3 linked regions of the Cricetulus griseus genome follow. The protein of the gene in region 3 purifies or fractionates together with the protein of the main gene of each other region. This does not show direct contact. Links are inferred from orthologs where the notes say so. Each region holds a gene or a part of one and is shown on either strand. Other genes may lie near its edges.

Region 1 (6,078 bases), on a different chromosome or scaffold from region 3:
TGTGCACTTTGGATTTGATTTGAATAGATATTACTCAAAAGAAGTGCAACGGATCTTAGTACCTGAAAAATGTTCAATGCCATTAATCACTAGTAAAATACAAATGAATTATAATACATATATGTGTATATATATAATACAAAACCACAATAATTTACCACTTTACCCCTAAGCTGGCTATTACACATACACACACACACACACACACACACACACACACACACACACACACACACACACCTGGAGAAGAGACAGCTCTTTCAATAAGGCACTTACTTTATAAAATGAGTTTGTATTCCCCAGAACCCATATGAAAATCCTGCACTTGATAGTGTGTGCTTGTAATCCCAACACTGGGAAGGAAGAAACAGGAGGAACCCTGCAGCTCCCTAGCAAACAGTCTGGCTTAATTGGTAAACTCCAGACCAATGAAACATTGTCTTAAAAGAGAGAAATAACATTCCTAAGGATGAAACCAAAGTCTGAGGTTCTCCTATGGCCTCAACACATACATGTACACCAACACAGGAATACACACATACACACACACACACACACACACACACACACACACACAGAGAGAGAGAGAGAGAGAGAGAGAGAGAGAGAGAGAGAGAGAGAGAGAGGTCTTAAGACAAAGAAGGATCTGGGGCTATTCAGAAGTGTATACAAGGCCATCAATAAGTTAACATACATTAAAAGGACAAATAAACCAAGCATATTGGGGCACACCTGTAATCCCAGGACTCAGGAGACTAAGGTATCAAATTGGAGGCCAGCTTTGATTTTAAATCTATCCCACTCAAAAGAAAAAAAAAAAAAACAGTATCAGGGACTGGAAAGATGTAGAAACTAGAGCTTCCTGCATGGCTAATTTGCACATAGGTTAGTAGAGCTCTCTTTAGAAGGTATTAGGCATCTTTTTTAAAGTAGTCACAGGCTGGAGTAATTCAGTGGTTAGGAGCACTGGCTGCTCTTCCAGATGACCTTAGTTTGATTCCCAGCATCGACATACAGGGCTCACAACCATCCAAAACCCTGGTTCAGAGGATCTAATGCCCTCTTCTGGCTTCTATAGGCACTGCATGCACATGGTGTACAGAAATACATGCAGGAATAACTAACCCATACACATAAAAAATAATAAATTAAAAAATAATAATTAAGTTAGTTACAGAATTGCCATGTGACACAGAAACACACACAGCATTTTTCCCCAAGCTCTTTTGCTGAGAGGACTTAAGTCCTCAGCTGCTGAATCTCATATTAAGAGGTAACTGCAGTGTGAGGGCACTCAGCTCATTAATGGTGACCCACTGACGAGTTCATATTGAACGAGTATTAGGGACTTTGGACACAACTCCGAGGCATATGTTTGCCTGGCCCCTCCTGTCTGTCTCCAGCTTCCTGTCCACTGCAAAGCAAGCTCTGCTCCACCACTGGCTTCCCACCATGATACTCAACCCTACCTCATCACATGCTTCCCGTCATGTTCAGCTTAGCCTCAGGTCACAGCAGTGAACAGCTGAGGACTGAAAATCCTCAAGTTGTGACAGAAATAAATCTTTCCTCCCTTAAGTTGTGTATCTCAGCTATTTGTCACAGACACAAAAAGCAAACACTTGGATATACACAAGAAAGCTTCAATCTTAGAAAAATTTATACATACATGTTCAAGGCAGGTAGTATTTTTTTGTTTGTTTGTTTTTTTGTTTTTCGAGACAGGGTTTCTCTGTGTAGCTTTGGAGCCTGTCCTGGCACTCGCTCTGTAGACCAGACTGGCCTCGAACTCATAGAGATCCGCCTGCCTCTGCCTCCCGAGTGCTGGAATTAAAGGCATGCACCACCACCACTCGGTGCCAGGTAGTATTTTTATAAGGTTTGGAGATGCGTTTATTATTTTATGTATATGACTGTTTCATTTGCATGTATATCTGTGCACCACATGTGTGGTGCCCACTGAGGTTACAAGAGGGTACTGGACACCCTGAGACTGGAATTACAGATGGTTTTAAGACACTATGTGGGGGCTGGGAATCAATCCCAGGTCCTCTAAAAGAACAGCAACAAATGCACTTGAGCCACTGAGCCAACTCCCCAGCTCTGGGTTTTTGTTTATTTTAGGGTAGAAGTTAGTTTAGACAGAATCTCACATTGCAGTCCAAGCTACCCTGAAACTCATGCCTCAGCCTCCCAAGTACTAATATTAGAGGCATGTACAGGCAGCATTATTTATAATAAGCAGCCCGAACATTCACAACTGATAAATAAAAAAAAGTATGGTATTTTCATACAATGTAATACTTACTGTTCAGCCATGAAAGGGAATAAAGAACTATTGAATGCTATAAGAGAATTAGGATGAATGGAGAGGACAGACCCAAAAAGCATATAATTTCATTTGTATCATATGCTTAGAATAGACAGCTCCATGGAGATGCTAGAGATGTAACCAAGAGCTAGAACATTTGCCTGGCATACACATAGCACTAGGTTCAATCCCCAATATCAGAAAAGACAGGAAGGCAGGGAAAGGGAGAAAACACAAAGGGAGAGAAAGGAGGGTGAATACAAGCACACCTAGCTCTCCATTCAGCCGTACTTCCTAACAGCTCAGTCAACAGTAAATTAGAGAGACAAGGGGCTGGAAGAAGATGGAATGGACAGTGACTGCTGACAATAATGGAGGCTTCTTCTGAGGTAGTGAAATGTTCTGGAGTCAGATGGTGATGACACCTGTTCAGCTCTATGTATATAAAAACCACTGAATCAGAATGAATTCTGAATCAGCATGATATCCCAATTTAACAAAAGTTCACTGTCACACGTATCTGTCAATTAGAAAATTGAGACTATAGAGGAAACAAGGGGCTATGTTCAAGCTCTCTGAAGAGCAGAAGCTACATGTGTACTCACCATTGAGAGAAATGGTCTCACAGCACACACTAGCACAGTAAAACTTCCAAATCACTTTTTTGTTGTTTGTGAAACAGTGTCCCACAATTTATAGCCCATGCTGACCTCAAATGTGTGCCAATCTTCCTACTTCAGCCTCTTGAGTATAGGGATTACAGGTATAAGTCACCATGCCAAAGCTCCTTTATGTACATTTTAAACAGCCCAGGCTGGCTGGGAGGTGGTGGTGCACGACTTTAATCCCAGCACTCAGGAGGCAGAAGCAGGCCAATCTCTTGAGTTCAAAGCCAGCCTGGTCTACAGAGGGAGTGCCAGGACAGACTCCAAAGCTACACAGAGAAACCCTGTCTCGAAAAACTAAAAAAAAAAAAAGAGGAAGCCCAGGCTGGCCTCCAAGTGGTAGCCCTCCTACATATAGCCTAATAGTTGCTTTCTTTTGTTTTTTGTTTGTTTGGTTGGTTGGTTTTTGGTTTTTCAAGACAGGGTTTCTATCCTGGCACTCGCTCTGGAGACCAGGCTGGCCTCAAACTCACAGAGATCCACCTGCCTCTGCCTCTGCCTCCCGAGTGCTGGGATTAAAGGCTTGCACCACCAACGCCTGATTTCTTTTGTTTTATAACACCTTTTTTTTTTTTTTTTTAAACAGCAGAGAGGCTTTTTCATTAAAAGGAATTCAAAGATGGAAGGGAGGTTTGGATGAGTAGTCAATTTTACAAAGCAAACATTTTAATTATAAAATATATACTGATACCTCCCTGAATCAACATTTCTACTTAGTAAAGGAGCTAGACAGTACATTGTAGGATTTACTGTCAAAAAAAAAAAAAAAAAAAAAAAAAAACAGAAAAGCAATTACAGCTGCTGGAGAGATAGCTCACAGGTTAAGAGCACTGGCTGCTATTCCAGAGGTTCAGAGTTCAATTCCCAGCAACCACATGATGGCTCACAACCACCTATATTGAGACATGGTGCCATCTTATGGCATGTAGGCAGAACGCTGCATACATAATAAATAAATCTTTAAAACAAAAAAAAAAAAAAAGAAAAGCAATTACATTAGGACATAGAAATTACCATGGACATAAAAGATCAAAAGTATTTTTTGATTGAATTAACACAGAATATGTCAAAGTTCTCATCTAGAACCAAGTCTGGTAGTATGCTCCTATGATCACAGCACAAAAGTGGCTGAGGCAGGGTTCTCAGGATTCAAGGCCAGCCTATGGTACCTAGTGAGTTCCAGACCCACTATCAAGAAAAAACAAATGTTAAGTTTCATTTGGTTATTCTGTTTTAACATCTCAGTCTTTTTCTTTCTTTTATTTTTTTAATATCCTTACCTTTTTCCCACCTGGCTTCTCCACAGTGAAAACTTCACTCCAAATCTGAATCCCAGTGGTTTCTGGGTCAGAGCCTCCTCGCCATGAAAATCCTGTCAGTGGTTCTTCTGGGTCACCCAACCAATTTGAATGACCAACTTTCTACAAAAGAAATAAGACGTTCTACTACATCTTTGGTTTTGCTTTCTGAAGCACTGGAGATAAAACACAGGGCTTTACACACATTGGGCAAGCACTTTATCATTACACTACATGCCCAGACCTCTCACCAAATCTTAAGTAATGAGCTTATTTTGCTCACTTTCTACTTTGAAATAAACTAATTCTTCCTTACCTGAGCATATAAGTATCGGAGCATAAAGTCCAGAACGAAGGATTTGCCCTTTCGAAAGGCGCCAGCCACTGATACTACTACCACATCAAGATCTCGGATGTGATCCTGCAGGAGGATGCTGGCCAAGGCACTCTCTTCTAGCTCAAAGGAATGCTGCTCTTTGTGAACCAAAACAACTTGCACTGGACCAGGTTTTCCACTCTCCATGGCATCACCTATGCACATTTAAAGACCAAAAAATTAAGTTTTACACACACACACCATGAAGAGAACAAAAGCTTTAACAAGGTACATATATGATAACCATAAAAGAGAGTATGTGAGGGTACTAATTAACACTAAGAATATTCATTAATTAAAAGACCCCAGGGGCCTGCAAGAGGACCTGAGTTCAGTCCTCAAGGTCCACATGCTTAAAGAAGAGAACCAACACCCAAAGCTGTCCTCTGATTCCCACATGCGGGATGTGTGTGCCTGTGTGCTAAACACACACACACTCGCTCACACTAAAAAAAAATGCCCCAGTAACAGCAGAAACTGCAGAGACTCATTCATAACTGATCAGAGAGTTGAAAATAAAGGGCTGTTGAACATTCAGCCATAGGAGAATCTGTATCACCTCCTCTGCCATGGAAGACAAGAGAGAAAGAATATTAAGAGGCAGAACACAGAGCAGCATGAGGTGGAATGTCTTCTCAATACATGGCATCACACCTGCACTCCATTTCATAGCAGCTGTGACTACCAGCACAAGAGCTGGGCAAGACTGGATCTATCAGCCCAGCGGTAGTGGAGCACGCCTTTAATCCCAGCACTTGGGAGGCAGAGGCAAGAAGACCTCACTGAGTTAGAGGCCAGCCTGGTCTACAGAGTAAGTTCCAGGACAGCCTCCAATGCTACACAGAGAAACCTTGTCTGGAAAAACAAACAAACAAACAAACAAAAACCAAGGAAAAGAAAATGTAAATATACTATATATGTATGAAAATGCTATCATGAAACCAAATATTACACATAATGAACATGTGCTAATGTTAAAGTGGAGATCACAGGACAACTTTCAGAACTGTTCTTTCCTCCTTCCACCATGGAATCCAAGCATTCAAGTATTTTTATCAGATGAACTATCTCACTGACCCCAAAAATATTTTTAAAAAGATGTAAAGAGCCTGAAATGGCCTGATTTCGATACAGAAGGAGAGAAGAGACTTGTTAAGTTGTTCTCTGACCTCCATATGCACACCATGGAACATATGTACTCACACACATACATACCAACACAAAATGTAATAAAAATATTTAAAAGAAGATACCAGTAAAAAGGATATGAATCAGGCAAGTGGCACATGTCTTTAATCCCAACTCTCGGAAAGTAGAGGCAGGCAGATCTCTGTGAGTTCAAGGCCAGCCTGATCTACACAGTGAGATCCAGGACAACCAGGACTGTTACACAAAGAAACCCTGTCTCAAAAAAAAAAAAAAAAAAAA
Region 2 (6,078 bases), on a different chromosome or scaffold from region 3:
AGGGAATAATAAATGAAAACTTAAGGAACCAGGGATGAAGCAAGTTAAATAGATGGAACCTTTTAAAAGTAATAGCCTACAAGGTTCACTTTGGAGATGAAAGAGGCTGTCATAGCCTGTAAGCCACAGAGACTGTTTGCATTATTTTTGTTTGTGTGGCTGTTTTTTCTTTTCTTTCTTTCCTTCTTTCCTTTTTTTTTTTTTTTTTTTTTAAAGAGGATTTCTTTGTGCAGCTCTAGCTGTCCTGGAGTTTGCTCTGCAGACCAGGCTGGCCTTGAACTCATAGAGGTCCTCCTGCCTCTACCTCTTGAGTGTTGGGATTAAAGATGGAGTATACCATTAATTCTACCCTTGATAGAAAGGTTAATTTCAGTTCTTTTATAAACTACTAGTTATTTCACTATGTAACTTCCTTTTTAGAGTAGTTAATCTTACTTATTCACTTGCTTTTTAGGAAGACAATATAGTGTTAATATTAGTTTTAACAAAGGATCCAAATTTAGATAAATGGAAGTTTTATTTCCCCAAGCTAGTTATGTCACTTGTAAAACCACCTGACTTCATCAAGCCTCAGTTTCCTTAGCTGGAAAATGTGCATAATCATTATACCCATTATATTATACTCTAATATTAAAACCCACTATATTATACTATAATATTAAACAAGATTACATTAAAAGTTGTCATTTGTGCTTAAAAATTGCTTATAATTCTTTTTTAGATAACCTGCCTTTAAGCAGAGATTTCCAAACATGCCTCTCTCTTTAAGCCTTATACTGAACCCTATACTTTTCAAATTTCTCTTCACTCAAGGGGATAGTGTTTGAGAGATTGTGATTTCTGTGTAAAATACTAATTACACACTGTACCTTTAACAACCCACTCACAGTTTTTCTTATTTCTACTACTGCAAAGTTGGTTTGTATTTTACAATGTCTTTCTTCTGAGAATGACAAAATACCTGTTCCTAAATTCTTCATTATTAATCACTATCCCTATCTTGCAGTCTAATGTAGAAGGACTAGGAAAAGCTTCATGGGCTGAAACATGCCAAACAGTCAGTGAGATGGACCAAAATAATGCCATCCATGGCACTTATATATTGAACACATTCTTAAGATTCTTAATTTATAAGCTTTCATAACTACTTGTCCTGGATTTATGTGTATCTCTTTTTTGAGACAGGATCTTGCTAAGTAATTCACAATTGACTTGAACTCAAAATGTTCCTGCTTTACCTTTTGAGTATGGGAGGACTTTAGGTGTGTGTCCCCATGCCTGGCTTCCTAAGGAGACATTCAAAACTGAACCAGATCTCTCAAATCTTATATGTCAAATGAAAAAAAAAAAGGTATACATTCTTCCTGTCTTCATATACTGCTACCAAATGAACTGAATGGCAGGGAAGTATCCACCCAATAAGCTAGCATCTAAGATGACCAGGAGACTTCACATATACGACTTTTATCACTAATCAAATGAACTCTATGACAGGTAATTCAAAAGAGAAAATCCAAAACAAAACTGTAATAAGAACTTTAAAAAGAATATTGCTGTTTTATGGAAGTTCTAAATCAAGTCTCTGATATAATAATTATCTCTTAATCAAATCTTGTCTTGGTCTACTCTTCATTTACTTCAGCCTTTTACCAGTTTAGCCCTCTTGCCCTATTCAATTCAAGAGGCAAAGTAGGAAACAGTTTTTCTTCTTTAGACCACAGCACATGAGGAAACAGGGCACTTCTGCTAAAAGTCCTATCGGACTTCAAATTTCTCTTAATTTGAGGACAGCCCTTTGTAGCCAGGTCTAACTCCCAGGAAATCCTTGATAATAATTCACCCTCTCAGTACTTTCCCATTCTTTATACCAATTATGTGTGTTATTTCCATACAAATAAGCTGAAAAATAACAGCCCAAAACATTAATTTTAAAAAATCTATAGCATGATCTAACCTTTCCCAACTTCCACAACTAATAGTATAATAATGACACTATAGTCAGTAAGGTAGAACAGAAATGAAAACATGCATCCAGGAATAAGAGTTTTATTTTGCCTGAATTCTGATTTACTTTAGAAACATTCAATTTATTCTAAAACTAAGGTTCTGGACCTGGAGAGATGGCTCAGCAGTTAAAAACATGTAGTGCTCTTTCTGAGGACCTGAGTTCAGTTCCTAGCAATCACATGGGACAACTTATAATTGCCTGTAACTCAAGCTCCAGGAGGATCAATACCTCTTGCTTCCATGGGCACCAGCACTCATGTGCACATATGCCCCTACACACACACACACACACACACTAATAATAATAATAATAATAACAAAAAAATTTAAAGGCTAAGGGACTGAGCCCATATGACTGTATTAGTTAGTCAACCTTTCTAAGCTTGCATGAATTTTCTCATTTGTTAAAAGCCTATGTTGAGCACTGTACTAAGACATGGAAAGGTTTTTTTTTTAATTTAATTACTGTCTTTGAGTAGATAAAAAAATGAATAAAATTCATGATTAGTAAGAGACATTAACAGGATGAAATGGGAGCACAACTGACAGATATACAAACTCTATTTCAATTTTTCATCTTAATAATGGGAAAGGGCCCTGATTTTAAGGAAGAAACTTAATCCTTACCTCTTTTTTTGAAGTTAAGACAATTACTAAGGGCTGACAATATGACAAGACAAGGCAAAAATCAGTAGTTTAATCAACAAAACAGAGGTGATAAAGTTAACTAGAGAAAGGTGAAAACTGTGAGCTTAACTCTTCCTCCAAACCAGTGCTTCATCTCTACTTGCTTTGTGTTTTTTGAACTAGGGCAAGTAACTTCACATTCTATGTTAAATTTGCCTTGTCTGTCAAACAAGAATAATATTATCCTCCAAGCCCAGTAGTAAAGTTGAAAGATTGATCAATGTTCTTCCCATTCAATGATACAATTTAGGTATTTTCATTTTCAAACAGGCAGGCTAGAATCTTCCCAAGGAAGGGGTCAGAGGAGGTCAGGGGAGCAAAGTATAGCAAAGGGAGCCGAAGGCATTTCTCACCGAGAGGATCTTATCACCCTCCTGGAGCCGCCCATCCCGGGCTGCAGCCCCATCCTCTTTGATGCGGCTGACGTAGATGCCACTGTCGTTGGAGACATACTGTTGATCTGTCCCACCGACGATGTTGAAGCCCAGCCCTGAGAAAATCATGGAGGAGTGAAGGAGAGGGGGATGAAGAAGAAAGAAAGATTAGAGAAGAAAGGAGAGCAACATGGTCTAGTGGGGAGGAGAAGCTGACAATTCAGACTGTGAGGTAGCTAACACAGTCATTAGCAAAGTCATTATCAACAAAGGCCAAAGTACCTACACTGCTGACTTGAAATAGGCAGCACTCAGTACATACACAGTGATCAAAAGGACTAGTCAAATACACTGAGCTCTACACAGTGTGGGACACAGTAATGCGGAGTCTTGTAAGGTAGAAGTGCATCTGCTCACACTTGATTTTGATGCTGTTGGTGACATTCAGATGACCCAAATCCTGGTATTCCTATATTAATGTAACAGGGTTAGCTGTGCTCATAAAAAGAAGTTTTGTTTCTTAAACTAATTATCAAACAAAATGTTATCAATTTAGTGAGAAAATAACTGCTAGTTGAAGCCTCTCCTTCACATGTGTTTTCTATCAAGATCTGGGAACACCTATATATGCTACTGTTTTGGAAAAAGCAATCTTGGTAGTTTATCTTTTCTATTTTGTACTGGGGTAGGACAGTAGTGATGTGGTTGTTAGCAGGAAACTGCAGAACTAGAAAAACAATTGTTCTTTGCAAGAGAATCAAGTCACCAAATTCACTCTTTTCTTTCTATGTCAAGTACAACTGATCACATACCTGCACACAATGATAGCCAGAAAAAAAATAATTCCTTACTGATTTGCAGTTAGGTACTTCCCTCCTCCTGTTGTTCTCCATGCTATGCCTTGTTTCTCTGAGTTTAATTAGTTTACAAGAGTAAAATATTTCAGTTACAGAAGAAAAGTTCTAGAGATCTGCTGTACAAGACTGTGTCTACCCAAAATAATAGCATATGGTTTATTTTCAAATTTGTTAATACAGCATATCTAAGTATCCTTATTATAATAAAATACAGCAGGCAAACAAGTTAGCTGGATAACTAATTACAATTTTGTTTTCATGAACCAGTCACTAAGCTGTGACAAGGATTTTACTCTACAGAAATCATTTATTTCTTTGAGGAAACATACAAAACTTGTATGTAAAAAAGGAAAAAACAGGGAGAGAAGGGGAAGAAAGAAAACAAAAAGAAATAAAGAGAGAAAAAGGAACCTCACTTCTTTATGTAGCTGCAGTCATAACTCAGGGACACAGTACAAAGAGAAGGAAGACAGTTGGAAACAATTTAAAAAACAAAAACATATTGGTGCAGTGGGAAGGGAAAGCCAGTCGCAAGTCTCCTAATGATCTCAGTAGAAAATATATCACAAAAGAGATATATGTGGGCTGTCTCTAAAGTTCTTTCCATGGGTAGAATGAAGCTAAGAATCAAAGTACCAACACAGCACCATCAAACCAATCCACAATTTAATGAGAAATTTCACAAAGAGGAAACATCAGGAAGTTTATGATTTAAGGAGCATACCTTGTACATGGAGTCTCTGCCACCAGATAGGTTTGTGGTTTTTGTTTGCATTCGTTTGGGGATTTATGGTACACAACAGAAAGAACTACTTCTAGAAGACTGTTTTCATAGCCCTGAAGGGTAGGGTGGGAAAAACAGGAACTCTAAATTATTTATTCATTTTTCACATAATTCCCTGAAGTTAAATTCATGAATGTAGGTTAAGTGGGGAGGGGCTGGTAAGGTAGCAAAAACCAGATCATGGAAGGCTTCATAAAGACTTAAAAATACTGACAGGTTTGAGCAAGGGCTGAGGACAATCAGTTTCTCTCACTGCTGAAACAAACTACAGAAAAATCTTCCACTGAAATTCAACATTTTCACTATGGTTTGAGTCTTATCACCAAACAGCTTCTATCTTTGCAAATCTTGAGAATGAAGAACAAATGTGAAGTGGCCAAATGAAACACAGTGATTTGCCAAATGGACTTTGTTACAGGTTATTTAAAGCTATAGAACAGCATCTAAAAAGCGGTAAAAGAAACCTTACTGAGATCTATTATTCGAAAGTGCAGTCTATTATTTATCCCCTAATACCACATCACAGTGGTACATTTACTTAACACATTGTTATTTCTGTTCAAGTAAACCAAACCACTTAAAATAAGAACTCTTAGATTAACTAAAGAACTTTTCATAAATGAACTTATCTATACCTTAAAACTTTGCAGGAATGAATGAGTTACCATAGCAGTGAGTAGTGACATTACAGTTCATCCTTGGGGCTGTGATAGAGCACTTGCCTAGCATGCTGAGCAATACCTAGTACTGCCAATAAACAGATGAAATCTTAGCAATATATGTATTTAGATACTTGCTAGTCTATTTGTTCAATAAAAATCACTGATCATTTACAAGTGGTCAGCTACTATACTATTTCCTGGTAAAGACAGAAAGCAAAATTGAACTAACCTATTCGGTTCTGACTTTAACCACAAACAAGTGTATCCTTTTCCCTGTCATTTAAGATACTGCATAAATCAGAAGAATTAGTTTCAAGTTCAACTTCATAACTTACCAGATGTGAACTGAAGCAAATCAGTTTAAGTCTGATTTCCTTTCTTTTCTAGAAAATAAGGATTATGAATTCTATCCTCTCTCCCTCAAAGGTAACTGTTAAGACCCCAGTAATAAAATCTGAAAAACAGTAATTGTAGACCCTTCCTGCCACCAAATCCCCCAGAAGGACCTGGAGGCAGAACAAAGCATCCAGCATCAGCAGCCTGTCTTGCCTCTGCACCCTCCAGGAGAGAGGAGAGGATACAGCCTTGAACCCATACCCACCAGAGGAGGGAGAGACCCCACCTGTACCCCCTGGAAGAAGGGATGGGAAGATGACAGAATAAGAACACATTCAACATCAGAAAGACTTATATGATACCACCAGAGT
Region 3 (6,480 bases):
GCACCTGGTCTCATCCTCAAGACTTTTCCCTGCCTGTCTCCACAGTGGCTGACCCTGGAGGATGTTCCATCTGGCCGCCTGCACTTACGCCTGGAGCGTCTGACCCCTAGACCTACTGCTGCTGAGTTGGAAGAGGTGAGGACACGTGGGGACAGGATGGAGTGGGCTGAGCCCCCTGCCAGCTCCCACCCACGGCCCACTCTGTGTCTCAGGTGCTGCAGGTCAACAGCCTGATCCAGACCCAGAAGAGCTCAGAGCTGGCGGCAGCCCTGCTGTCTGTCTACTTGGAACGGGCAGAAGATCTGCCAGTAAGAGCAGCTCCCCATGCCTCCCAAGAGCAGTTCCCCATTCCTTTGCTTTGGCTTCATAGCCCCTCTTCAGGCTCCCTTGGGTTTGAGTGAGCCTTGGGGGTGGGGGCTATGAAGTGCAAATGGAGATGTGGTTATGCCTTTAATTTGTAAATCTGTGACCCATGCTGTCCCTCCAGCTCCGGAAAGGCACCAAGCCCCCCAGCCCATATGCTACTCTCAGCGTAGGAGAGACTTCCCATAAAACCAAGGTAGGCGCAGATGCTTTGTAACGGGATCCTTCACTGCTAAGAATGAGTGATCACCACTGACCATAACCCCTCTTCTCCAACAGACTGTTTCCCAAACGTCAGCCCCCATCTGGGAGGAGAGTGCCTCATTTCTCATCAGGAAGCCACATGCTGAGAGCCTGGAGCTTCAGGTACTCAACTCACTGCAGACTCCAACCACAGCTATTATAATCCCGGCACTCGGGAGGCAGAGGCATTCCGATCTCTGTGAGTTCGAGGGCAGCCTGGTCTATAAGAGCGAGTGCCAGGATAGGCTCCAAAGCCACAGAGAAACCCTGTCTTGAAACAAACAAACAAAACAAAACAAAATTTTAAAAAAATTATGAGCTGGACAGTGGTGGCCCACACCTTTAATCCCAGCACTCAGGAGGTAGAGTCAGGTGGATCTCTGAGTTCGAGGCCAGCCTGGTCTCCAGAGTGAGTTCTAGGACAGCCATGGCTACACAGAGGGAAAAAAAAAAAAAAAAAAAACAGTAGTGAGACAAAAAATAGAAGGTGTGTGTCATGTCAGCTCTTCTGTAAAGTTAGTAAGAGGGCAGGGAGATGTCAGCATGCATGAAACACAAGCTGGAAAGCCTAACGACCTGAGTTTGTTCTTTGGGACCTACTCCTAAAAGTGGTCTTCTGACAGCTACACTCAGAATCATGACAGTCATGCACTTATAACACTTAATAACATTCAAGTTTAAAAAGTCAGGAAATACTAAGAGATACAGGTGTATATACTAGTTAGAATTATAGAACAAAGCAAATGTTTTAAAATTTTATTTTAAAGGGTGGGTACCACCATGCCTGGCAATTTACTTTTAGTTTTTTTCATTCTTTTTCCCTCTCTGCTGGTACTACTGGTAAACCTGAGAAGGCTTATGAAGTAGAGACTACTTTAAGAAAGGAAAAGCTAGGCTGGGTGGTGGCTCCCGCCTTTTATCCCAGCACCGGGTGTGTATGGGGGTGTGGGAAGTGGGGGTGGGGTGGAGGTGGGGGACCGCAGAGGCAGGCAGATCTCTGTGAGTTCCAAGCCAGTCTGCTCTACAAAGTGAGTTTCAGGACAGCCAGGACTGTTACAGAGAGAAAAGCTAGGCGTGATGGCACACACCTGTAATCCCAGCACTGGGGAGGCAGCCTGGATGAGGCATATTCTCAGAAAGGGGTTTGTAGGGGGCGGGGGTAGGGGGCTAGCAGCTGTAACATTTATTCTGTTCCTCCAAAAGGTGACTCTCTCATCAAAACCACCCAAGTGTTTGGATCATAAATGCTGAGCTTCCATCATTTATCAGTGCATTTACCTCACAGGTTCGGGGTGAAGGGACTGGTACCCTGGGCTCCATATCCCTGCCTCTCTCTGAGCTCCTCCAGGCAGAGCGACTCTGTTTAGACAGATGGTTTGCACTCAGCAGTGGTCAGGGCCAGGTGCTGATGAGAGCGCAGCTAGGGGTAAGTGCTGGGGGGGGCAGGGGAGGGGCAGGAGGGGCTCAGGGCAGGGGGCTCAGGGCAGGGGCAGGAGGGCTCAGGGCCAGGGGAGCTAAGGGAGGGCAGGAGGGCTCAGGGCCAGGGGGGCTCAGGGCAGGGGCAGGAGGGCTCAGGGCAAGGGGGCTCAGGGCAGGGGCAGGAGGGCTCAGGGCAGGGGCAGGGGGACTCAGGGCAGGAGGGCTCAGCGTGGATCAATACCCAAAGGGTGGGAGCAGGGGTGTCCTTCTAGTGAGGAAACTGCCCAGCTCACCGCTCTCCTGTCTCCAGATCCTGGTGTCCCAGCACTCAGGAGTGGAAGCCCACAGCCACAGCTATAGCCACAGCTCTTCTTCACTCAATGAGGAACCCGAGGCCTCAGGGATACCCAGCCACGCCACTTCCCCAGTGCTGGAGGTCAGGCATCGCCTACCACATGGTGACAGGTAAGGGGACTGGGATGGAGATGGTATGCAGGCAAGAATATGAAGTTTGACTCCTAGACGCTATGCTGTCTGTCTGTCTTTCCACAGCCCCTCTGAGGCTCCTGTTGGGCCTCTGGGCCAGGTGAAACTGACAGTGTGGTACCACAGTGATGAACAAAAGCTGGTTAGCATCATCCACAGCTGCCGGTGAGACCCTGCCCACCTGTCCTCCTCTGCAGTCCCCACGTCCTTTGCAACCAGTGCTTCAGTGACCACATCCTTTTGTCACAGGGCCCTTCGACAAAATGGCCGTGATCTCCCAGATCCCTATGTGTCACTGCTGCTACTACCAGACAAGAATCGAGGCACCAAGAGGAAGACCTCACAGAAGAAGAGGACTCTCAACCCCGAGTTCAATGAACGGTCAGTGAATGGGTGATTTATTTTTTCTTCGAGACAGGGTTTCTCTATGGCTTTGGAGGCTGTCCTGGAACTAGCTCTTGTAGAACAGGCTGGTCTCAAACTCACAGAGATCCTCCTGGCTCTGCCTCCTGAGTGCTGGGATTAATGGCGTGTGCGAGAATGGGGGATATTAATGGGTGATATTTACATGGAGGGGTGAGGCTTTGGCTGGGCCCTGAGTTCTAATGTCTAGTGCCTTCACAGGTTTGAGTGGGAGCTGCCCCTGGATGGGTCTCTCAGGAGAAAGCTAGATGTTTCAGTGAAGTCAAACTCTTCTTTCATGTCACGAGAGCGTGAGCTTCTGGGAAAGGTAAGAGGGTGAGGAGGCAGCAAAAATTAAAGCTGCTAGAACCACAGCGTCCCATTAAGGAGACAGCCAGGGTGCCAGCTGGGACATGGTCCTATCCTCTTGCGGTGGTTCATGATCATGTGACAATGGGGTATGGTCTTTGGAAATGTCAAAATAACATCTTGCCCCCTGCCATCCTCCAACCCAGGTACAGCTGGATCTTGCGGAGATAGACCTCTCCCAGGGTGCAGCCCAGTGGTGAGTGTCTACAGAGCAGCGGGTGGGACTGGGTGGGTACAGTGGAGAAACCCAGTCACAGAAGAGGAAAGATGTAGTGAAAGCTGAGAACCATTCGCCCCCTCAGCGCAGAAGCCCTGGGCCATGCCTTTCACTTAGGAGAGATGACAACTGTTCCTGGTGGCTGGTGGCTGTAGTTCCAGCCTATGAGGAGCTGGAGAGTTGAGAGTCCATACAAGTTCCAGCCAGCCTGGGACAGACAGAATGAGACTGACAGAACAAAACAGATGCAAGAGTCTTAACTCTCCTGAGCTCTGTCCTTGTTTCCTAGGTATGACCTGATGGATGACAAAGATAAGGGCAGTTCCTAGGAGCTGGGGACAGCCCGACATTGCTCTGTCTTCTTGCCTTGCCTCTTGCCTCAGTGTGATGAGCCCACAGCTAGGGCTCCAGGGCTGAGCCTGAACCCTTTTGCCTTCTGGGCCCAAATCGGGGTCTTTGCCTGACCAAAGAGAATCATATGTAACCTTTACTGCACGGCCTTTCCCCTTGGGCTCCTGGGGCAGGGACCTAAGCTGGCTACTTCCTCTTCTGCCTGCACCTCACTCTCCCTTCCCGACTCCTCAGGGCCTCATGCACCTGTGCCTGGCCACTGGTAGCACCAGCAGTGGCACCAAATCATGCCAAATACAGCTTTTGGAAAGCTCTTTTTTACATAATAAAAAATATACAGAAAAACAATGCTTCATGAACTTGCATGTCATCCTTGCACAGTGCCATGCTAAGAGCTAAGTTAGTCTGTGCTGCTGAGTTGAGCCTAAGGTTTCCTGTGACTGCCAGGAGCCACCAGGGAGAACAAACACAGGTGTGAAGGTAGGCAGGCTCCGCTCGCCTCTTGGACTGCATGTAGAAAATGTACGGCTTCACCCACACCGTACTCAGTCTACTCTTGGAAAATATACGCGCTATGACGGCTACATCAGTCTGATTCACTGTGCCTCAACTGGGAACACTGAGGTCTGCCTCCAGGCCATTAGAAATTGGCCTGGAAGGGCTGGAGAGATGGCTCAGAGGTTAAGAGTACTGGCTAGTCTTCCAAAGGTCCTGAGTTCAATTCCCAGCAACCACATGGTGGCTCACAACCATCTGTAATGAAATCTGGTGCCCTCTTCTGGCTTGCAGGCACACATGCAGACAGAACACTTTTCTTTAAGAAAAGAAAAAAGAGGCTGGGTGTTGGTGGCACATGCCTTTAATCCCAGCTCTTGGGAGGCAGAGGCAGGCAGATCACTGTGAGTTGGAGGCCAGCCTGGTTTACAAAAGCTAGTTCCAGGACAGCTTCCAAAGCCACAGAGAAATCCTGTCTCAAAACAACAACAACAACAACAACAAAAAAAAAACCAAAAAACAACAACAAAACAAACAAAAAGATCCATTCACTTAGTAGTTAAAGCCTATGAAACTGCAGTAACCAAGGGAATTGGCCCACTGAGCTGGAAAGGGCTCATGTGTGAAGTATCGGAAGGGCAGACTGGAGCTTATCTACTGACCACTGCCGTCTGCCATCCAGAAATCTGCAAGTCCCACCACAGCACCAGGTTCATAAAGTCAAGGATAGCAGCCATATCCAAAGAGGCTTCAGGGCCACCTGAGTCCTGAGAAATATTTCACGTCTGGATCTACTCACCTTGCAAGAGTTATCTTTTCATTTGCTGAAACGGTCTCCTGTACCCCAGGCTGCCAAGGAAGGCTCCAACTTCACGTCTTCCTTCTAAGTGCCGGGATCACAGGTGTGCACTACCACAACTGGCCTGTTTGTCTTAATAAAAAACAAAGCAACAACAGAGTCACATGTTAGCCCAGGCTGGCCTCAAACTCATGGTAGCCCTGCTGCAGCATCCTCCTGGAGAGCTAGAGTTACAAGCATGACCTCTGAGCCATCTCTCTGAGCCATCTCTCCAGCCCAATAATAAATAAATCTTAAGCCGGGTGTTGGTGGTGCACGCCTTTAATCTCAGCACTTGGGAGGCAGAGGCAGGCGAATCTCTGTGAGTTTGAGGCCAGCCTGGTCTACAGAGCGAGTGCCAGGATAGGCTCCAAAGCTACACAGAGAAACCCTGTCTCGAAAAACAAAACAAAACAACAAGAACAACAAAAAGAAGTCTCACTTTGTGGCCCTGGCTGGCCTGGAATTCACAGAGATCTGCCTTAGGGGCAGGAGATCTCTGAGGAGCTCCAGGCCAGCCAAGGCTGTATAGGGGGACCTTGTCTCAAAAACCCAATTTCAAATGAAAGTATTTGAGTTAACTGGACCCCAAGGAAACATCTCCCTTCCGTCATAGCATCTGTTTCAGATCTTTACCATGTTTAGATTCATCTCCTCCCCTTCCTCCTTAGCAAGTCAAATCCCCTCACCGACTTCAGGGTGAAAATGTAAACGGTATGCATGGAAATGCTCCCATCCCTCAGGTCTCTTGTGTCCCTGGACACTAACTGTAGTGTGATATCAGCTCTTGACTTTCTCCAGGTATCCATTCATTCTACAAATATTTCAGGACTGCAATGGACCAGGGGACCTGGTTCTTCTTGATTGTGGACGGTAACTGTGTATGCATGTTCGAGCATGCGTGTGCATGGTGGAAGAGTGCATAAGAGACCAAGGGAATAGCCAGAAATAGGTGGCCCACGCCTTAATCCCAGCACTCGGGAGGCAGAGGCAGGCAGATCTCTGTGAGTTCAAGGCCAGCCTGGTCTACAGAGTGAGTGCCAGGATAGGCTCCAAAGCTATACAGAGAAACCCTGTCTCCAAAAACAAAAACAAACAAACAAAAAGACCAAGGGAACAACCTGAGCAACCAAGATGGTTATCTTAAAGATCTGCAGGCTACTGGGCGTGGCTGGACAGCAATGCAGACAGTACAGGAACTAAATGTTTGAAGCTGAGGCTGTGTTCCCTTTGTGGGCTGGGCCGGCATGCCTGGCAAGAGCTCAGTTGCCACTTAATCTTTATCAAAACACATGAA

The links.
Region 1: the proteins of Esyt1 (region 3) and Atl3 purify together in Homo sapiens (affinity purification with mass spectrometry; 3 studies listed by BioGRID and IntAct, with this or other methods). This does not show direct contact. The link is inferred for Cricetulus griseus from reciprocal best matches to the Homo sapiens genes ESYT1 and ATL3.
Region 2: the proteins of Esyt1 (region 3) and Synj2bp purify together in Homo sapiens (affinity purification with mass spectrometry; 4 studies listed by BioGRID and IntAct, with this or other methods). This does not show direct contact. The link is inferred for Cricetulus griseus from reciprocal best matches to the Homo sapiens genes ESYT1 and SYNJ2BP.

Annotation. Positions count from the first base shown.
Region 1 is NC_048596.1:51,912,192-51,918,269, forward strand, and holds part of Atl3 (atlastin-3), read right to left. Parts: intron 4,806-6,078; coding exon 4,591-4,805; intron 4,398-4,590; coding exon 4,257-4,397; intron 1-4,256. UniProt on the Homo sapiens protein: Atlastin-3 (ATL3) is a membrane-anchored GTPase that mediates the GTP-dependent fusion of endoplasmic reticulum (ER) membranes, maintaining the continuous ER network. It facilitates the formation of three-way junctions where ER tubules intersect.
Region 2 is NC_048598.1:122,194,294-122,200,371, reverse strand, and holds part of Synj2bp (synaptojanin-2-binding protein), read right to left. Parts: intron 3,185-6,078; coding exon 3,048-3,184; intron 1-3,047. UniProt on the Homo sapiens protein: Regulates endocytosis of activin type 2 receptor kinases through the Ral/RALBP1-dependent pathway and may be involved in suppression of activin-induced signal transduction.
Region 3 is NW_023276806.1:129,385,287-129,391,766, forward strand, and holds the end of Esyt1 (extended synaptotagmin-1), read left to right. Parts: intron 1-45; coding exon 46-135; intron 136-212; coding exon 213-308; intron 309-487; coding exon 488-559; intron 560-642; coding exon 643-729; intron 730-1,891; coding exon 1,892-2,032; intron 2,033-2,335; coding exon 2,336-2,490; intron 2,491-2,577; coding exon 2,578-2,676; intron 2,677-2,760; coding exon 2,761-2,892; intron 2,893-3,135; coding exon 3,136-3,241; intron 3,242-3,428; coding exon 3,429-3,478; intron 3,479-3,788; coding exon 3,789-3,828; 3' UTR 3,829-4,200; downstream 4,201-6,480. UniProt on the Homo sapiens protein: Binds calcium (via the C2 domains) and translocates to sites of contact between the endoplasmic reticulum and the cell membrane in response to increased cytosolic calcium levels.